Drosophila melanogaster: one gene and its partner. Changing the gene in region 1 together with any one later gene gives a genetic interaction. Each region holds a gene or a part of one and is shown on either strand. Other genes may lie near its edges.

Evidence for each region.
Region 2: of dap (region 1) and Skp2, changing one suppresses a phenotype caused by changing the other (phenotypic suppression), as found in Drosophila melanogaster (one study listed by BioGRID).

Annotation. Positions count from the first base shown.
Region 1 is NT_033778.4:9,710,236-9,714,159, forward strand, and holds the start of dap (dacapo), read left to right. Parts: upstream 1-2,085; 5' UTR 2,086-2,704; coding exon 2,705-2,868; intron 2,869-2,927; coding exon 2,928-3,328; intron 3,329-3,924.
Region 2 is NT_033777.3:4,335,617-4,339,540, reverse strand, and holds the start of Skp2 (S-phase kinase-associated protein 2), read left to right. Parts: upstream 1-1,866; 5' UTR 1,867-1,934; coding exon 1,935-1,993; intron 1,994-2,198; coding exon 2,199-3,072; intron 3,073-3,132; coding exon 3,133-3,532; intron 3,533-3,595; coding exon 3,596-3,755; intron 3,756-3,811; coding exon 3,812-3,924. Other genes in the region: CG1103 (uncharacterized protein), read right to left, coding at 37-497, 1,238-1,469.

The DNA of each region.
Region 1 (3,924 bases):
ATCTCTGACCTCCTCCTGGGGTGGAATGGGCTGGCTCGATTGTCCGCTGTGTGCTGAGGCGATAAGACGCGTTGCATTCGAAATGAGTGTAACGTATATTTTATACGAGACAAGGCAGGACTGGGCTTTGTTGAGGTTTTAGTAGATACGAGATAATGTTCTACCGACCGCGCGACCTTTGACTAGGAAACACTGATGATATTTGCCTAGCCCTTATCTACTCGGGGGGGGGGGGGGGGGGCCATAGTTGAGTGCATATTAGGGAATTCGGATAAGATCCAATTCGATCCTACCAGCATTAAGGACTGCAATCAAGTGAATACCTTGAGTGCCATCCAATGCCCGCACGTTCCACGACAATCCTTTAGGATCTGCCCTCATAAGCGGGACACTTGAGAACCGCTTTTCCACCTCTTTTCTCAGCCTTTTTTTTTTTTGTTTTTCCGCGTGTGTTGACACAACCCATATAAAGCCAGGATATCCTGCTCGGGAGGAAATTACTTAAAGGGATCACGAACTCTTCCCCTTTCGAAAAACTCCTTCTTGAGTTGTTTATGTTTTCAGGCATGACTGCCGCCGAACGCCAGTAGAATTCTCAAATTTGTTATAAAGTGTGTAAATTCACGTTGCTTTTCTTTTTGAGGGAGGGTGTGTCCCATAAACAGAAAACCGAACCACAAGGGATCGGATCTTATGGGAGTGGAAAGGAACGAATTATGGATGGATGATGATGCTGCCTAATCGAACGTTCGTCAAACGATCTCTGCCTTTTTTGGGGTGATTGCACTCCGTTTTTTCTTGTTTTTTTTTTTCTCGGGTTTTTGTGTGGAAAGCCGATGGGTTTTCCCATTATTTCGTCGAGTGCAAAGGACAAAGCAAATGATGTCTTTAGTCTACGAATCTGACTTCCAAGGCTTTGTCCCAATTCTTTCCTTCTTATTTAATTGGATTTGTTCAAACAATATAAATCTCGTTTTATTGCCTTTGGTAGTGTAATTTAATTTTTTACGATTTTGCACACGAAAGGAAAAAAACTTTATGAAAATGCAGCACGAAATGAGCAGAAAACTTGCGTTTCACAAAGTGAACCATAACGGAAATTTGAAATACCCAGTGCTATGCAAACACCACAAGGAAATTCGAACTAGACGTGCACATTATTTTACATACATACATACATACATCGTACAAATGTATATTTGGTGGACCAGTGCCCCACAATGCAAGCGCGATTTTCCCCTTGGCAACACGAGGAAAGTGAAAAGAATTGGTGCCCCAAATGCCCCCTGCCACTTCCCTCCGACGACTAAAAATCCAGTTTGAGGCCAAACAAACCAAAACCATAACATCGTTTTTTCGTATCTTCCCATCGCAATCGCAACTAAAAGTACAGCTCCACCGATGCAACAACAACCAAGAAGGCAGCGAACAGAACACACGGATGGAAATGGCAGGGATGGGTAGATGGCGTGCGAGAGAGTGGGAGACATATGGTGAGAGAGAGAGAGGTTGTGGAAGTTGTGACGACTTTCTTGATACGCTCTATGAAGGAACCTTGGACAGTTTAAAATATAATTAAATTGGTTATTTCAAAAACATTAAAAATAAAATCTGGTTGAATACTGTTTACAAATGAACTATGGGCTTATGAGCTGTGAATATTATTTGACAGGAAATAATGAAAATAATGATAATAATAATAATAATAATAATAATGAATACGTATTATATATTGTACTATATGATGATTCCAACAATCAATAATTATATTAAAGCTCATAATATCAAAACTTTTAAACTCAGATGCCTTAGTTAAATTTTGTTAGGAAACTTTTATTTTTCTGAGTATTTTTTATACGTTTGCTATATAAGTTTAAAGAACAATTCAAAGGAAGTGCATTGCTCTTTCGATATGATTAACATTAAAAGCGCATTCTTTTTCCCTATCTCTTTCGCTCCTGCTGCTTTTCCGATCTTTTCGAATTCGAGGGTTGCTACAGAGAGAGCGTGAACCGCTCTGAATTTCCAGTTGGCAACGCCTCTGGTGGTTGTTTGACGTTTGCTTTTGCCCAGTGTTTTATTTATCTTTTATTCGTTTCTCCGAGTTCGTCGAGAGAGGTTCGCTTCGATCGGTAGCGCTATATTTAAAAATCTAGTGCGCAGTGCGCTCATAGCCGAAAAGGTTAACAAACATCGCTGTAAAAACGACTTCAAGTTGTAAAGACAAATATAATACAAAGGTGCTGCCATTGGCAGCTAACTCATACAAAAACTCCAACGAGACCCGCAAACGTTTCGTTTTGTGAGTCGACTAGCAGTGCAGTGTGTTCGAATCGCCATTCAAAGATAGTGACCAAGTGCTATTGGACCAAGGCATTTGTTTATAATTATTTTTATAAACAATTGCAGCGTGAAATTTCACTTTTGAACGCAGCAAGACGTAAAATAAGCTGCAGCACAACGCACACACAGAACACTCGCTCTCCCTCTCACATACACACACGCTCGCGTGTGGAGACCGTGATTTGTATTCGTGTGGAGACTGCCTCTCTCTCTTTTGGGGCTGTCTGAACACAAAGTTTTGGCGCCAAAAGTTTGACAGTTCGCTTTGGCGTGTAATTCGCAAACAAGTGGCAAGAAAAGTGCGTCTCAAAACAGAGTAGAAAACACTAGGGGATCCCAAAAAAATATATATTGACTCAACATGGTCAGTGCCCGAGTCCTGAATCCTGTGATGATCAGTGAGTTCTGCAAGATGAGCAGCAGCCCGGCGGTGAGTCGCAATCTGGCATGCGGTCGTCAGTTGAATCGCATAAAGCGTGACCTCTTCGGTAGCTCCAAATCCGCCGAGGGTACAGCCAACAAAACGTGAGTTTCTATAATAACAGTTGGATTTTGACCAATAGCTAACAATATATCCTCTTTAGACCCTTTAATTCCGAACTGGAGCGCCATCAAGAACTGGCCACGCAAAAATGGGGCTTTGACTTCCGCGCCGGCTGCCCTTTAGCTGAAAAATCACCCTACATTTGGGAGCGCGTCAGCTTCCAGGAGTCGAGCTTCGCCCCAGAGATGTACACCCTAACACGGGCCGCCCACGTACGCCCTTCCGCGGATGCAAGTCCTAGCGACATGGACATTTTGGTCAACGAGCGCTCAGAACGGGAGAACTTTGGCTCCAATCTGGTCAATTCCTCGCTAGAGTCGAACACGGATAATGAATCTTGTTACGACTCCCAGGACGAGTCGCTGGCAATGCGGCTTAGCTCCTCCAGCACGACAAGCACATCCTCCATAGTCCTGCGCAAGAGACAGCCAAAAATCACAGGTGAGTTTTGGGGGATGTTCTACACCATTTTGATCAGTAGAGCTTGACGGTTCCCAGGGTCAGGCTTCATTTCACTTCGATAGACGTTACAAAGTGTTTTCCCATAGCTTTCCTTTTATTCCCTGTTTATTTTCGGTTCTCAGGAGGAAGTTGAGGGTGTTTTTTTTTTTTTTTTAACTTATCAGGCTTGTTTTGTAATCGGACTGATACGATATTATTTTTCAAAATTATCTGTAGAGTAGAGAGTATTATCTAAAAATTTCCGAATATAGTGCTCGAGATATAAAAGTAGATTCGTGCTCTTTGTTTTGCAAACTCGATGAAAACGATTTTCATCAATGATTTTATGCCAAACCAATATTTTGTGCAGGATTTTGTACTTACAATACTAAACTCCATAAGGGGTTGTTTGATTGGTTTTAAGTCCACTCCTTCGCATTTATTGTTTATATTCACGTTTTAGTTGTGGGCGTTTTTCGTGAAACTTAGACCCAAATTATAGCAATTAGCCAATGCTTTGTGGGAGATTTATTTTCGTCCAGAAGGGTAAGTCAAAGCTGACTGCAGCTGTTTCAGCTCCTCATCTCCCTAAACCG
Region 2 (3,924 bases), on another chromosome or scaffold:
TCGTAGAGGTTCATTTGGGAATCCTTCTCGCCTTCCTTAGTACAGCATTATGGCGGTCTTGTTTTTATCGTCACATGGCGCCTCCAGGCATTGGCGGTTGCGGAGGCCGAGTCGCTGGGCGTACAACAGGATGGCGATATTCAGCAGCACAACGACGGTGGATACCACGACCAGGTAAAAGCTGTAACCAAGATAAGCCAGTCCATTGCTGTACCAGTGCTGCTGCTGCTGCTCAGTTAAAAGAACGTTGTGTATGAAATATTGGTAGAACTGCACGAGCCAAGCTACAAACGCCACTATTTGCGCCCCCGCGGCGCATATGTTGGAAGTCAGGAGCAGCATCATTGTGCCTCCTTTTTTGGCCGCAGAGGCTGACTTTAGGACAGCGGCGATGGCAGCCACAGCGCAGGCCAGCAGTGCGAAACCGGTGCCCAAGGTAGTAAGTAGCCAGAGCCAGAAGCTAGTGTCGTCATTTTCTGTCCGAACAAAGGTATACACTGAAAATACGGTGTGAAATAACAAAAGTTAAACAGGATTGCTTTAAAAATTTTATATTTTATTTGCATCTCCAAAAGCTGTTAAGCTTCCACGACGTTTTTATTCTATGTTGCATATTTGTGGCTCGCAATATAATACCCTTGCAATTTTAAAAATTGTAAACCCCAAATTTCAACCATATTATATAAAAGCAAGTAAAATATGGTTCCCTATGTCCTCGCTTCTATTATATTTTTTGCGCCAAAAATTTCAATATTTTTCAATTTTGTTAAATAGAATGTAACTTCCCTTTAGCCCTAAAGTTTGTTGTGTCACTTGATTATTAATAAGAAAAACAAAAACAATTTTGGTTTTTACAATTTAATTTTTAAGCATATCCTTAGGATCTGCAAGATAAATAAATGTAATCGAAAAGTATACATAATGGTTAATTTTTGGATATGTCTGCACTGATCATGAGTATTATTCGGGTATTTAATTTTATCAACTCGCCCGATTATGTTTGTGATCTTCACAACTAAACAAATTTAAAAGTAAATCTATTTTTAACAACAGTCTTATCCAGGACAATATCGGTTTTCAACTAATACATGCCCCAATAATCAGCACATTTTCCTAATCGTATATTCATTCAGAAAGCGTCCCAAGAAGTTTAAAGAGGCTAATTCACGATGCAGGTAATGAGAAGATCACTCTCTATCTAGTTTTCCCTGCTATCTAGGCTACTTTGATTGCTCACCATCAACCGAATTTGTGCGGACTCCGAATCCGGGATTCAGGTGGTAGTTGCCGAAGAAGAGTCCGAAGTTGAATTCACCCTTGGCGTCCGACGAGTTCTTGCGGCGTGGAGTGGCCCGCACCCAGTGATTAGTGGTCATGCTGACGAGCAAGAGGCCAATAGCCAGGCAGCTGCCAAAGAAGGTGGAGAACACTAACGCCCGTGTGTGCAAGCTCATCTTGATAATGCTCATGGAAGACCGGTGGCATATGTAGAAGGCTATGCTGTTTTCACCATTAAGAAATGTCTAGGGCCCGACTCCAGCTGCAGCGAAGAAAGTTAGTAGGAAACGTTAGTAAGCGGAGGACGCAATGCCAGTGGCCTTGCAGCGTATTGCTTACCCTTTTATGACTATGTCGGCGGGATCAATTGCAAATATAGTCTTTGTTCGCGGAACAAAAGATTGTTGCACAGGTAAACAATTAATATAAACTGTCTTGCCCTTGTTTTTTTCTCAGAAGAGAAGACTGAGCGGATATTTTTTCTCAAAGAGTACGGTAGCATTAATTTGGGATTTGGTCTGGCAACCACGGCCCGTCTAGTATATTCGATAACGATACAATTCTCATACCAAAATGGCTCGACAACCCTGGTTCCATGCAAAAATAGCGCGAAGTTTTTGTGTTTACGGCGGTGAAAAAATAGATTTCGTGTAAATATGAGCAGTCGCAAGCACAGAGGCTCCGAAAACATGGAAAATTTGTGCCCGGTGACCAGGTGAGTTTTCCTTTGCTTGGGGTGTGGGTTCAAGCAGCAGACCACTGAACTGGTCGCGTGACGTCACACGCGCCACAAGTGTCCAAAAGAGGTCAAGAAAGTAACTTATTGAATTGCAGGGTTCTTGACCCTTTCTTTCATCAGCCATTCTGCTGATGAAGCACGATCGAACTGCACACTTTTAATAAATTTTCGACTATTGCAGAAAGCGCTCGACTAATAAGAACCACGTCTCTGTTGTGGGCGCTCTAGTTTCCACTACGAAGTCATCGCACTACGAGCACCCTTCCTCGCCCTCGGCACTAACTTTTGAGGCCCTAGAAGAGATGGGAATCGGAATGCTTGATTCCGAAGAAAGCAGCTCCTCAGCCCTCTCGGCCATCGCTTTGGCGGTTAGCGCCACCAGCGACGACAACTCAAATGAGACGACCCCGTGCGCCAGTGTGTCGCGCATGGCGCACCAGCTACAGCACACGCAACGGCTAAGTCTGGGCTCTACGGGGGACATCACACTGGATAGCCCAGCTGTGGAGGATTCACTGTCGATGTCCCGTCAATCGGCCGAGAAGCTGCAGATTCTGGCGCAGGCTAAGCGCTCGTCGTTGGGTTCTGAAGGTAGCGGCAATTCAAACTCGCCCAGCAAACGTTTGCGCAACCCCCTGGCTGCAGTCACCTGTAACAACCAGATTGATGGGACTGCTTCGCTCAATTTTCAGCCATCAACCAGCAGGTTGGCGCAAGTTCGCCAGGCAAAAAAGCCCTCGACAACAAATATTACAACCCGAATAGTGGCAGCGGACAGTTTCTTTGTGTTTCGCACCCCGGCCATGAGTGCCCACATCAACAGCGGCATAAACTACTTTGAAAGACTTTCAGACGAAATACTACTTGACATCTTTAAGTGGCTCCCGAAGAAGACGCTGCTGCGCATGGCTACCGTTTGTCGACGCTTTAACCGCTGCTCTCGCGATGAGACTTTGTGGACAAGGCTAGATTTGGGTTTGCGGACAATTAGACCAGGTGCCCTCGAGCAAATTGTACGGCGGGGAGTCCTTGTAATACGTCTGGCCCAGACTAGTGTAAGTTACATCTAACATTATGTTTTCGGGAAACAAGAGCATCTAATCTTTGAACTGTAGATCCAGGAGCCCGCATTTGCACCATATACAGAAGTGTTTAGGACCCGATTACAATATCTTGACCTGAGTATGGCTTCCATCACCCGAAGCTCACTGCTGACACTATTGTCCCACTGCCGCCAGCTAAAGAAAATAAGCTTAGAGAATATTGAGCTCGATGATGACATCTGTGCAGAGATCGCAAAGAATGAAGCTTTGGAGGCGGTCAATCTGACTATGGCTAGTGGCCTGACGTCCAACAGTGTTCGCCTGATGATGGAGTCACTTACCAGCCTAAGCAGCTTAAACATATCGTGGACTGACCTAAGTGCGGATGCTGTTACGGCGTTGGTTACCCACATTTCCCCCAACTTAATTCGGCTCAATATCGCTGGCTGCCGCCGCGTTTTGTTTGACTCGCGTAAGTAGTTCCCACCGTCTTCAATGATATATTTCCTTTTTGATTTGAATTTAATTTGTTTAGATGTTGCAACCCTGCAAAAACGGTGTCCTCAGTTGTTGGAGCTTGATCTATCTGATTGCAATAGTCTAACACCAACAGTCATTACTGCAATTATGAAGTTCAAGATGCTGGAATATTTGTCCGTCTCCCGATGCTATCTTATTCCAGCAACCAAATTTATGTAAGATTTTTCCAGCAAGCGTCTGATTAATCCCTACCCAGTCATTTTCCTTGCAGTGAACTTAAGAGTATGCCCTCGCTAACCTATTTAGACATATTTGGGATGCTGTCGGACACTGCAATGGAAGTCCTTGAGAAACAACTGCCAAAAATGGGTATAAACAAATTCA